Drosophila melanogaster: one gene and its partner. Changing the gene in region 1 together with any one later gene gives a genetic interaction. Each region holds a gene or a part of one and is shown on either strand. Other genes may lie near its edges. The genes, in order: Acf and Chrac-16.

The links.
Region 2: of Acf (region 1) and Chrac-16, changing one enhances a phenotype caused by changing the other (phenotypic enhancement), as found in Drosophila melanogaster (one study listed by BioGRID).

The regions. Positions count from the first base shown.
Region 1 is NT_033777.3:31,792,060-31,800,092, reverse strand, and holds Acf (ATP-dependent chromatin assembly factor large subunit), read right to left. Parts: upstream 6,113-8,033; 5' UTR 5,726-6,112; coding exon 5,604-5,725; intron 5,112-5,603; coding exon 3,881-5,111; intron 3,823-3,880; coding exon 1,460-3,822; intron 1,401-1,459; coding exon 1,225-1,400; intron 1,159-1,224; coding exon 720-1,158; intron 655-719; coding exon 555-654; 3' UTR 294-554; downstream 1-293. Other genes in the region: Mccc1 (Methylcrotonoyl-CoA carboxylase 1), read left to right, coding at 6,475-6,515, 6,623-7,388, 7,443-7,949, 8,009-8,033.
Region 2 is NC_004354.4:12,016,453-12,020,077, reverse strand, and holds Chrac-16 (chromatin accessibility complex 16kD protein), read left to right. Parts: upstream 1-2,116; 5' UTR 2,117-2,204; coding exon 2,205-2,627; 3' UTR 2,628-2,853; downstream 2,854-3,625. Other genes in the region: Lsm12a (LSM12 homolog a), read right to left, coding at 1-71, 137-253, 320-450, 753-897; regucalcin, read right to left, coding at 3,107-3,299, 3,357-3,625. UniProt on the Drosophila melanogaster protein: Histone-like protein which promotes nucleosome sliding of ATP-dependent nucleosome remodeling complexes. Part of the chromatin-accessibility complex (CHRAC) which uses energy/ATP to increase the general accessibility of DNA in chromatin.

The DNA of each region.
Region 1 (8,033 bases):
TCACTCTTACTTTTAATGTCCAGTGAAACACACATAGCTTAGATTTCATAAAAAGTAATAATAACAATGCAGCATCCAACACTTTTTTCTCGATTAAGAAAGAATTTGGCAAATTAGGTTCTTTAAGCAATATTTTTTTTTTTGCGATCAAATCGTCTGTTTTAAAAACTGGCAAACTCCATCTACCCATTTTTCCTGCGTTTATACAGAGCTAAGCTCTTTTAAAATTTGTATTCATTTAATTTTAGCTTTTTACACCTCCAACAAAACAATTTTTTTTACTTATTTATTTTGAATCGTTTGTTTCCGGTCACTTCATTTATTGATTGTGGAATTTTCGTAGTGTCTACAATAATTTATAAATACATAAAGTCTCATAAACCAACAGATAAGGATTTTTTGCATATGCGTGTGCTGAACTTAGAACTGACATGCACGAAAATAAAGATCTTTAAATACACTTAATATTTGTGCTTAAATATATATGGTTTTCAACTACGGCTTAGAGTAGACTAACTAATTTACACGATAGCTGGTGGAGATCAGCGTCCGGCTCAGCAAGCTTTGACTTCCCCGTTCATATCGCTAGGCCTAAACGGTAGCTGCATGTCCCTACATCGATCGATCACGAATCGTTCTAGTTGACAACCAGCGCTGCAACGGATTCAAGATAAAGGATAAACAACAAGACCACTTACGGATTATCCCAATCTACTCACTCGTATATTTCGTTGCCTTCTACGTTGTACAAATCGCAGTTTCTAAACACCAACTGAATGTCGCTGAGCAGCTCCTCGTTTAGCTGGTAGGCGCCCATGTTTAGCTTGGATTTGATTTTAGCTAGATCCATGGGCGTTTTGATGATCTGATGGTAGTCGGGAACCTCCGATGTCAGCACTGGTCGCAGAAACGGCCAAGCGGCCTTGTGCTTCATGATCTGCTCAAGCAGATCGTACAAGGCGGCACTGTTCAACGGCATGTGCTCGTTCGTCCGACGCCCGCTTCTGCGATGGTTGTTGTTATTGACGCTGCTGTTGTTATTATTGTTGTTGTTGTTGCCGTTGCTTGGGCGGGCGGTCTTGTCGATAGATAGGCGCAAAGAGTTACGTGGTCGCTTTGCTTTTGGCTCCTCCTCATCGCGGTCATGATCACCATTCACTTGTTGGACAGAAATCACACGGGCTATTAGTGAGCTATTCATTAAGGAGAAATTTGTGGACTTACTGTTACTGTGCCGGCGCCTAGGTCGTTGTGGCATCGGCTTGCAGGTTTTACAAACGAAATCTGTGCGAGGCGGTCGCTTGAGGTGAACACATTCCAGGTGAAAGAATAGCCTGCATTGCACACATTTGATTTCACCGCCATCGTAGAAACACTTCTGACACACCTTTTCCTCATCTCTGTGGATTGCAATGGGTTCATTATCTAAATTTAATTTTCAATCCAGTTTTTAACTTACGACTCGTCTTCGATCGTATCTTCACCGGCGGTTAAGGATGCGTCATCGCTGACGTCTCCGCTGTCAACGTCTTCCTGAGCATGTTCTTCGATCTCTTTCGAAGTAAGTCTTCTGCTTGTTGGCCGTGTGCGGGGTCGCCTTAAAATTCGCCCATTGACTCTGGAAGATGAGGGGGTAGAGGTCACACTTTCGTCGTCCTCAACGTCCTCATCGTGTTTTTCGTTCTCGTGCTCCGCATCCTCATCGGTCATATCGTCATCCTTTTTCTCTTCCTCTTCTTCGTCTGTAGCTTCATCATCCTCCTCTTCTACGATAAACTTGCGTTTCTTCTTTGTCGCCTGCTTTTTATCCTTTTCGTTTTGACCATTGCTGAGACCCAGACTCTTTACGCAATCATTGCAATACCAGTTGCCCGGGGGTACAGACCTCAGCTTAGGCTTCAGGCAGAACATGTGAGTGCCAGCGTTGCATTCATCGCACAGCAGCATCTTCTCCGGATCGCTGCCACGCCTGCAGACCTTGCATAATGACTTATTGGTGGAACGCCTCCACTGAATACAGTCGTGCAAGATGTTTAGGTGCAGAAAGACTTGAGCAAAGCTTGTACTTTCCATTAGCGAAACTTCCCACTGGTGCAAACGCGAGTCGCAGGCAAGTTTTAAAGCCTCCTGCTTGGGGTCCCACTTCTTCATGCCGTAGGGTTCCTTCAGAAACCGTTTTCCAATAGCCTGCTCCACTTGCAGAAGGGCCGAGGCCATGTTATGCACGGCGATAGGAATCGAGACGGCATTCGTATGCTGATCCTCCTCATCGTCGCTGTCTGGTAGGGGTTTTGTGTCTGCAGAAGCTGCCAAATACATGCCAGGATCGCGATATGGTTTCCTGGCATATTTACCTAATAGTGCGCCATCGTCCTCCTCGTGAGTTTCGTGGGATTCGTTGTCAGAACCAGCTTCATCTTCCAACTTGCCACCCGGGCCCCACTGCAACTTGCACTGAGCGTCGTAATTGCCTCCAAGCAAGTCACTTCGCCACTTTTCCATATCCTTAACTTTCAGGCGGCCGAGATCACCAGTGTAAATATCATTTTCAAATTGAATAATTCGATCCACTAAATGCAAGCGCATCACTTCGTTTAGATCGGTCCCATTCGGTAACCCAAAGTTTGCTTCTCCGTATTTACGGTTAGTTTCAGATTCCATCGCCGCCATAAACTTCTTGCGCATTGTTTCGTTTTCTAGACTTAGCAAGTCTACTGGGCAGGTCTTAGCATGCTGTTCGATTAAGGAACGCAGAACGGATAGCTCTTGAAGGAGTTCATATTCACGGAGACCATTGGGATTGAGAGCCTTAATTAATTCATCGATCTCCTCGGCTTTGTAAATATATGCCCAACGCTGCCGTTGCCCATTTCTTGAATCATGCACAATACAAGATCGTTTGTCACCACTGCACATCAAGAGCTCAAAATGAGTGGGAGCCTCTGGAGAATCAGATTCGACATCCATGGGTTCTGCACTGCCGTTAAGGCGATGCTCTTGGTTCTCCTTGTTCTCTAGAGAGTGCTTGGCCTTTTTCTTAGTTTTCTTTTCGTCGTCTCCGTAGAGTTTGAGTAGATATACCCTTAGGTCCTTGCGATTCTTTGGCAATGCAGACTGCTGACGAATTTCTATTTGGGACTTATTTGTTATTGGTTGCTCCAAACAAGTGTCAAGGCTGTCCGGCGAATGCTCGACAAAGATCCCAGGCATAGACTCCAAAACGTAATATTTCCTGTAGCACCTATCCATGCCCAAGTAAACCAAAAAATTGAAAAGCTGCGAATGCAACTTAAGCATCTGCAACTCGTGCTTGCGATGTTGCTGATCCGATTGGGCGTGTAGCTCGGCAATACTCTTCTTTAATTTCTCGACCAACGCTTCCCTCTTTTCAGGCTCAACGCCATTTACCTCCAGGTGGTGCATTTGCGTGAGTTTTTTCCTGTTTATCTCTACGGCGGCTAATCTCTTATTTTCCCCGACAACTAGAGCTCGTAGATCTTGCCTGGCCTTTGCTGTTTGCTCCATACGCTCCTCAATCAAGTTAATCGTGCCCGAGTATGTCATAATTTGGGACATCAGGCAGCGAATCAGGAGCATTATATCCTTAAACTTTAGCTGATATACGGAATGATTTTTGAGAATGCGCAGGATGTGCGAGTGTTCCAGACGTAGTTCCAGACCAGGGTCTTCTTTTGACGAGTAGCCATTCCGGTACATGACTCTCCAGCGCTCCGCCTTTTCATTTACAAAAGCTCCGGATCCAAGTAGATGCAGTCGTAGCACTTCACTGAGAGTCAGTGCATCTAATGGTAGTTCATTTACCTATTGGGAAAATAAAATTAGTTTAGATAACACACGTCGGCACAAACAAAGTATTGACCTTAAAGGAAAAGTGCCTCTTGGCGTAAAGGTGACTTTTGGCGGCCTGCGCCATACTCCAATAGGGCTCCTGAGTTTGTGCAGCCCGATCGAGGTAGGTCACTGCGCATTCCTCCTCCTCTTCTTTTTGCAGATCGAAAACAGTGCCAAGCAGAACGAGGAGGATGTCCGATAGTGGGCCCGCAATCTCACGAGCAGTCAGTGCACGTGTCATCTCGTAGAAACTGAGGTTCTGACGGAACACCTCGATGCCGGACAGCAATCCTGTGTAAGTGTGCATAAACTCGCGCATCATGAAGGCATCACCCAGGAGGTGCTCAGGCAGCAATGTGACGATCTGTCTGTAGCGGGGCAGGACTTTTTGGTCGGTTCTCTCCAGGTCGTCCGTCTTTTGAAGCAGTAAATTACATTCGTTTTCAACGCGTTCAATCAACTGTGCCTTCTTTTCCGCCTTTTGTTTTTCCAACTCAATAAGCTTGGCCTCTTTTTCTCGCTTAACCCGCTCCAATTCCTCTGCCAGAGATTTAGCATCAGACTTGGCCTTCGCCTTTGACTTTGCAGCCGTTGCTTCACCGGCGACAATATATTTGTTGAGAGTGGATTGCTTCTTGCCGTCAGGTTTTTTAATCTTAGCGGGAGAATAACGTGGCATTTTGCCAATGAAAATTGTGGAGAAGTTTACGCCAGGGTCCGTCACGTACTGCTTGTATGCCTCTGGCTTGGGTCGAAGAAGTCCATCCACCCGCGATACATTGCTCTTTATAAACATACTCAGGTTTTCCAGGTTAAACTCCATGCGCGAGCGACGTAATTGCCTAAAGGGCAGATCAAGCTCTGCACTGGGATCGCCCTTGTTTGGTCGTAGTCTGTAGACCAGGTTGTCCGTGTCCTCATAGATACCATTGAGTGGTTCCGGCATATTTTTGTCCAACTTGACACCCAACACCGTGTACGTGGCGTTCTTCTTAGCTTGCACCGACACCTCCTCGCCGATAAAGTAGCGCTTGCGCAGAAACTTGGCCACTATCATGTTCAAGGTGTTGACCGCCGACTGTTGGGCGTGCTCCACAACCAGAAGGACGGGTGCCCGAAGGCTCTGTTTGAACTGCTCCATCTTCTTGCGAGCCGCCCGCTCACTTTTGACCGCCTCCTCGTAGGTGAGGTTCTCCTTGCCGGTGGCCTCGCACTGCCACACCGTTGAGTTGATCACCATCACGTGCCGGAAGTAGTGTCTGGATAAATAAATTTAATCGATCAGCGTTTTAAGGTCAATTTATTTTGATATAATTGAAGCTTGTCAGAGTAAAACATATTTAGTATGTTTGCTATTTATTAAAATAGTTTCGCGCTACCCAGCCTCTTAAATAATTGCTGATCTTAAAAATATCTAGAAGGATCATATAAGTCGAATTGGGTCAACAAATTCCAAATTCAAGAGCGCGCGCTTTGGCACCAGGTGGCAACTCCGCGGCGAGCAGCTGTGCGGCGGCAGCTGTAATTTCTTCCCGCCACCGAACAGCGTTTTTTTCGCCTTTGGCCCACGAGACTCGCACACTTATGCACCCCTGCGAACACACACACACACACACTGAATGGTGATGTACGGTACATCGTGTGCAAATGCTTTTGCAGCGTCGCTTTTGTTGTATACTTTAGCGCAGCGTCCACCTAATGGCAGGAGAAGGGAAGGGGCAGTTGCAGGAATGGTAGCAGGATGCACTTACTCATAGTCGCGAAAAATGCGCTTAGTGATGTAGCAGCAGAAGACCTGGTCGTTGTCGTGGAATGTTTCGTTCTTGCCCTCCTTCTGATTCAGGTCGAATCCTTCCCGCTTGCAAATGGGCATGTTTGGTGTTTTCCTTTTGCTCTTGAATGTCCTTAAGTTTAAATGGCAGTCCTTCGAAGTGCACGTTTAACAGTTCACAATAAAAACAACCGCGGAGCAACTGATAAATTTTACAACGCCAAGCGACAAGCGCAAAAGGCGCCCAACTTTTCACGCCTTTCCGGAGGGGCTTTCGATGCAAACGGTTTTCCAGCGATACGCGCGTTGACTTCCGACGCAATTATACAAGCTGTCGGCGGGCGACACTTTTCCGACAATTTCTACTATGTTTGTGGCTGGCTTCCTCAACACCAACTACCTAAATCCGTTTATTTTATAGCGCACAATCTATTTTCACGCGCATATTTTGGGGCCTATCGCTCTTCGACGTTAAACTATCGGTTATCGAGTTTCTGCGAACAATGTTACCGAACTTCACGAGCGCAGAAAACCGTAAGGACGCGGTCGGATGGATGTCAACAGTTCGATAAATAGTCCAGAATAATATAACGGTAATATTTTTTATGGGTTGCAACTTAAAAAAAACACAATATACGTAATATCAATTTCCCTAAAAGATATTGATGATATATGATAATCCCCAAAAGATATATGAAACATTAATATTTTCAACCATGCATCTCGTGAGTCGCCCATCTCAATTGCGATCTTGTGCGTGTGCGTTTTTCCAGCTGTGATAAGCGACGATCGCACACTTGCTCTGAATAAAGTATATTTGTTATTTATTCTTACAATTAATTCTACTAATAATGTACGCCAGACTGCTGCGAAACTTCGGCGCAAACGCCAGGTGAGGGAAATGATCGGCAGTTCTTTGTTAAGGCCGCTAAATCAAAAGACTTAATTTCGTTCTTGACGATTACATAAACCTTGCTAATTTGTTTTGGCTTGACGCAGGTGCTTTGCAACAGAAGCCAGCCCAAAAGTTCGGCCTATCAGCAAGATCCTTATTTCAAATCGTGGTGAGATCGCATGCAGGGTGATTCGAACCGCACGCAAGCTGGGAGTTCGTACCGTGGCCGTGTTCTCGGATCCGGACGAGAAGAGCATGCACACGCAGTTGGCAGACGAGTCGTACCGCGTGGGGGAAGCTGCCTCCTCGGCTTCCTATCTTCGCGGTGAACGCATCCTGGACATAGCCAAGCGTTCGGGCGCCCAGGCCATCCACCCAGGCTACGGCTTCCTCTCCGAGTCCGTCGAGTTTGCCGAGTTGTGCCAGCGTGAGGGCATCATCTTCATGGGTCCGCCCAGTTCCGCCATCCGGGACATGGGGATTAAGAGCACCAGCAAGGCCATAATGGCCGCTGCTGGGGTGCCGATCATCAATGGATACCATGGCGATGATCAGTCAGATGAGTGTTTGCAGCGAGAAGCCGACAAAATTGGCTTTCCCTTGATGATTAAAGCCGTCCGCGGCGGCGGAGGCAAAGGCATGAGAATCGCAGAAAAACCGGACGACTTCCTCACCGCTCTGAACTCAGCTCGCACCGAGTCCGAGAAGTCGTTTGGCGACAGCTCTGTGCTTCTGGAGCGGTACGTCCGATCTCCACGCCACGTAGAGGTTCAAGTATTTGCGGATCAGTATGGTGATGCTGTCTATCTGTGGGAAAGAGATTGCTCCGTGCAAAGACGTCATCAAAAGATTATTGAAGAGGCGCCAGCTGTAAGTGCACAAGAGCTTCGGCTATTTTAAAAATAATGCTCATTTATACAACAGCCAGGTTTGTCGGAAGATTTGCGTCGTGAGCTGGGCGAGGCTGCTGTTCGTGCAGCGAAAGCTGTGGGCTACGTAGGAGCTGGCACCGTGGAGTTCATTCTAGACAAAGAAGATCTCTCTTTCCACTTCATGGAAATGAATACCCGCCTGCAGGTGGAGCATCCTATAACGGAAATGATTACGGGCACCGATTTGGTTGAATGGCAGATTCGCATTGCCGCCGGTGAGCCATTACCCCTGAAGCAATCTGAGATTACGCGGCGTGGCCACGCATTTGAAGCTCGCATTTATGCAGAAAATCCTCGCGGAGGCTTTCTGCCCGGAGCCGGACCCCTGCGATATTTGTCTACTCCCCAACCATCAAACAACGTTCGCGTGGAGACGGGTGTCCGAGAAGGAGATGAGGTGTCTGTGCACTACGACCCCATGATTGCCAAGCTAGTCGTTTGGGGCGAAAACCGCACACAAGCGCTTAACTCATTGGTTGCCCGCCTGGGTGAATATCATGTGAGAACATTAAAAATTTGTACCTTTAAGACATTTCCCTAAAGGTAAACCAATTTTAGATATCTGGTCTGGACACTAACATTA
Region 2 (3,625 bases), on another chromosome or scaffold:
CGGTACGGCGGCGAGATGGTGACTTCATTTAGGATCTGTATGTTAAGTCCTTGCCAGGAGACTTCATTGTACTACAAAATAGTAAAAGAAATAGCAATGGTTAATGATGATAGGGCATCGTGCAAGAGGTCATTACCCCGTATTGTTTGGCTATCGCTCTATAGAGTTCCTGCGCCTCTGGACTGACATCAGCATTCTTAGACTTCAAGTAGTCCTGTCTTCGCTCAACTGTTTTCCTCAGACGCATTTTGACCTGTATAAGCAATATATATATATATATATATATATTTATGTAAGTGGTCAGAGCTGGCATGCTTACCTGTTCCAGATTAAGCTTTTGCGGATCATCAAAGTTGCCGTTGCACTCCTTGATCACCTGCACGTTGCTGCAGAGCGAGAGGTTCATCGCGTAGATATCACTCAGCTCCTCCGTGGACTTGGATCGGCATTCTATGCGGTTGGAAAGGGAAGAGAAGAGCAGGAACGGGGGGCAAAGATATACGATGTACGGAGAACCAAATTGTCAAGCAGTAAACAATGGGTTTGATAAGAGATAGGTGATATGTGAATGCTATCAGTTAAGATGAGTGTGAATTAGAATTATATACGAATCTAAAGGACAGTGTGACTTTTTGTCCAGACAGCTCAAGAGATCCCTGTGGACAGCCGGAGAAAGTGCTCGCTTTCACCCGGCGGGCAAGTTGTGTGTGTGTGTGGGTATGCATTTCGGGGATTTCGTTGCAAAAGGATACTCAGGATAAGCATCTTTGTGTTGTGATCGAAGGCCAGCACCTCGCCCTCCACCTCCTCGTTGAAACAGGTCGTACAGACGACTGTGGATCCGATGCTGAAGCAGTCGTTCACTGCATTCACTGCGCTCGCAGCGGCAGCGGCCATTTTTAATTGCTGGTTGAGATTGGCCAACTGGAAAAGTGCACCCACAAGCTATGTGGATAGGGGATTCGAATCTAGATCTAAATGTCGATACTGGTTTGTTGGCACGCCGTTGCTTGAACAACGTTTCACAAACAGCGATGGTGATGATGTTGATGATTTTGCGGCAGCAGCAGCTGTTTTGGATGCTTGAATTCCTGGAATTCTCGAAAGGATTTAACTAGCTCTCTCGCTCGCTCTCACTCTCGCCGTCTGTCTGTCTCGTTCTCTCGTGCCGTGCAGCTCACTCGCTTTCACTTGAACCGCTCTAATGGAAATGTCGCTTCCTGGCGATCTGGTCGAGATCCTGCTCCTGCTTCCACTGCCCCTGATCGTCGCGTGAATTGGCCAAAAACTCGCTGGTTACTCGCTCGACTAGCTATCGGCTATCTATTTTGGCGGCAATTGCGGTTCGGTAATTGAAAAGTTGGAAAAGTACGCGAAAAATTTATTGGTCAACACACGAAACAACAGCCAAAAGGGGGCAGCAGAAAACGCAGTGTTGCACATGCCGCGCAGCGATAGGTTCGATAGTCATCGATTACGGAAGTCTGGCAACGTTGCTGCAAACAAATCAAGTGCAATAATAATTTATTGATATTTATTTATATGTGAGTTCGAAAATGAAGACAGATTTTTAAGCTATAAGTGTGAAAATCCAAAGTTGATTGCATACTGAAAAGACAAAAGTAGATAATATTGACTTGTCTAAATGTTGTTGCAATTGAATGTTTCCTTATAAATCGTGCAGATCCTAATCGTTTTACCCCTAATCTCTTGATTAAGTTAAAGGTATTTGCTTAGAGCGGTTTTTCCACTAATAAATTGAAATATTTGGAAAACTTTTATTAAATACTTGTTGTGGCTACCGATAGCATATCGGCGCAACGTTATTTGGTTAAATTCCCGCTCCAGCTAGAGCTGAAAGTATAGGCAAATCCGAATGGGTTTCTCAATTTTTATATATTTAGCGCTATAACTTAATTCTGAGAAAGTAACACATATATTATTGTGCACATCCAATTCCTTGCAAAAATAGAAGTATGCCAGCATTGTTCGTTTTAAGGGAAGCCCTGCGGTTACTTATTTTAAGTCTTCATAAACCATAACCATCGATAGCAAATAAAAAAAAAGAATCGATAGTGTCTCAGAAAGGTACGAATTTCATGCCTCGATTGTAACATCGATAGTTTCACAGCTCCACTTGTGAGCCCAGCTCTAAAACCAAAAAAATTCCCAAGCCATAGTTTGCTTGGGAATTAAGTAAACAAATGGGCGAACCAAGGAGCCAACCACCCGTGGAGCGTCCACCGACCGCGGAAACCTTTCTGCCCCTCAGCCGCGTGCGAACGATCATGAAGAGCTCCATGGACACGGGCTTGATCACCAACGAGGTGCTCTTCCTGATGACCAAGTGCACGGAGCTATTCGTTCGCCATTTGGCGGGCGCGGCATACACGGAGGAATTCGGCCAGCGACCGGGCGAAGCGCTCAAGTACGAGCATCTCTCCCAGGTGGTCAATAAGAACAAGAATCTGGAGTTTCTGCTGCAGATCGTGCCGCAAAAGATCCGTGTACACCAGTTCCAGGAGATGCTGCGGCTAAATCGCTCCGCCGGCAGCGACGACGACGATGACGACGACGATGATGACGATGAAGAAGAGTCCGAATCGGAATCGGAGTCTGATGAATAGACGGTCATGCAGATGTTTATCTACACCGAAATTGAGTGGATGATCTCCATTCACCAAAACATCGACTGATTTTTTACGCCACCTTGCTATCTTTAATTTTAGACTAGACGATAAGTATAAAATTGTTTATAGAACCACTGATTAATAAAGAAGCATAAGAGCACTGCGTCCTCCAAATGACCATAAGATCCGCGGATGATTACCGTGTGTCTGCGGCTGATAAGATTGTTGTTTGAAATCAGAGTAAAGTAGAGCATAGTCAACCTCTTTGTGAGTTTACATGATGATCCTGGATATTCCCAGGAGAGAATGTGATCCTTAAGCTGACCTTGAACTAGAACTGCAAAAAAGGATAACCTAACTAGCATGCAAAACATTGATAGACGCGATTTAAAACGTTAAAGAGCATAACATATAATTGCACTTGGATTCGATTGGTACATTTTACTGCGGCTAAGGATAGATAGAGATTGCAGCTCCTAGACCTTCAGGTTGACGCCGGGATAGCCGGTGGCGTTCAGTCCGGTCACCTTGTAGGTGGTGCCAGCTGGAGCGGGCTGATCGAACTTGGCGGCAGTGGTCACGTACAGGATGTCCAAGTTGGGGCCACCGAAGGCGGCGGAGGTAATCTGTTTGGTTGGGAACTTGATCTCAAGCAGAATCTTGCCAGTGCTGCAATGAAGTACGACATTTAACACTCGATCACGAATGTTAGAGTGAACTACTCACTTGGGATTAACCTTGTAGATGGTGGCGCCATTGAAGGTGGCCACATACAGGTTGCCCTCGGTATCGATGGTCAGGCCATCGGGCAGCAGATGATCCTTGGGACTATTCTTGCGCAGATTGAATATAACCTTGGGATTGCTAGCCACGCCGGTCTCGAAATCATAGTCATACGACTTCACCTCGTAGTCGGTGGTATCGATGTAGTAGAACTTCTTGGCCTTCTCGTCCCATGCCAGTCCATTGGAGATGCCCACATCGCCCTTGATCAC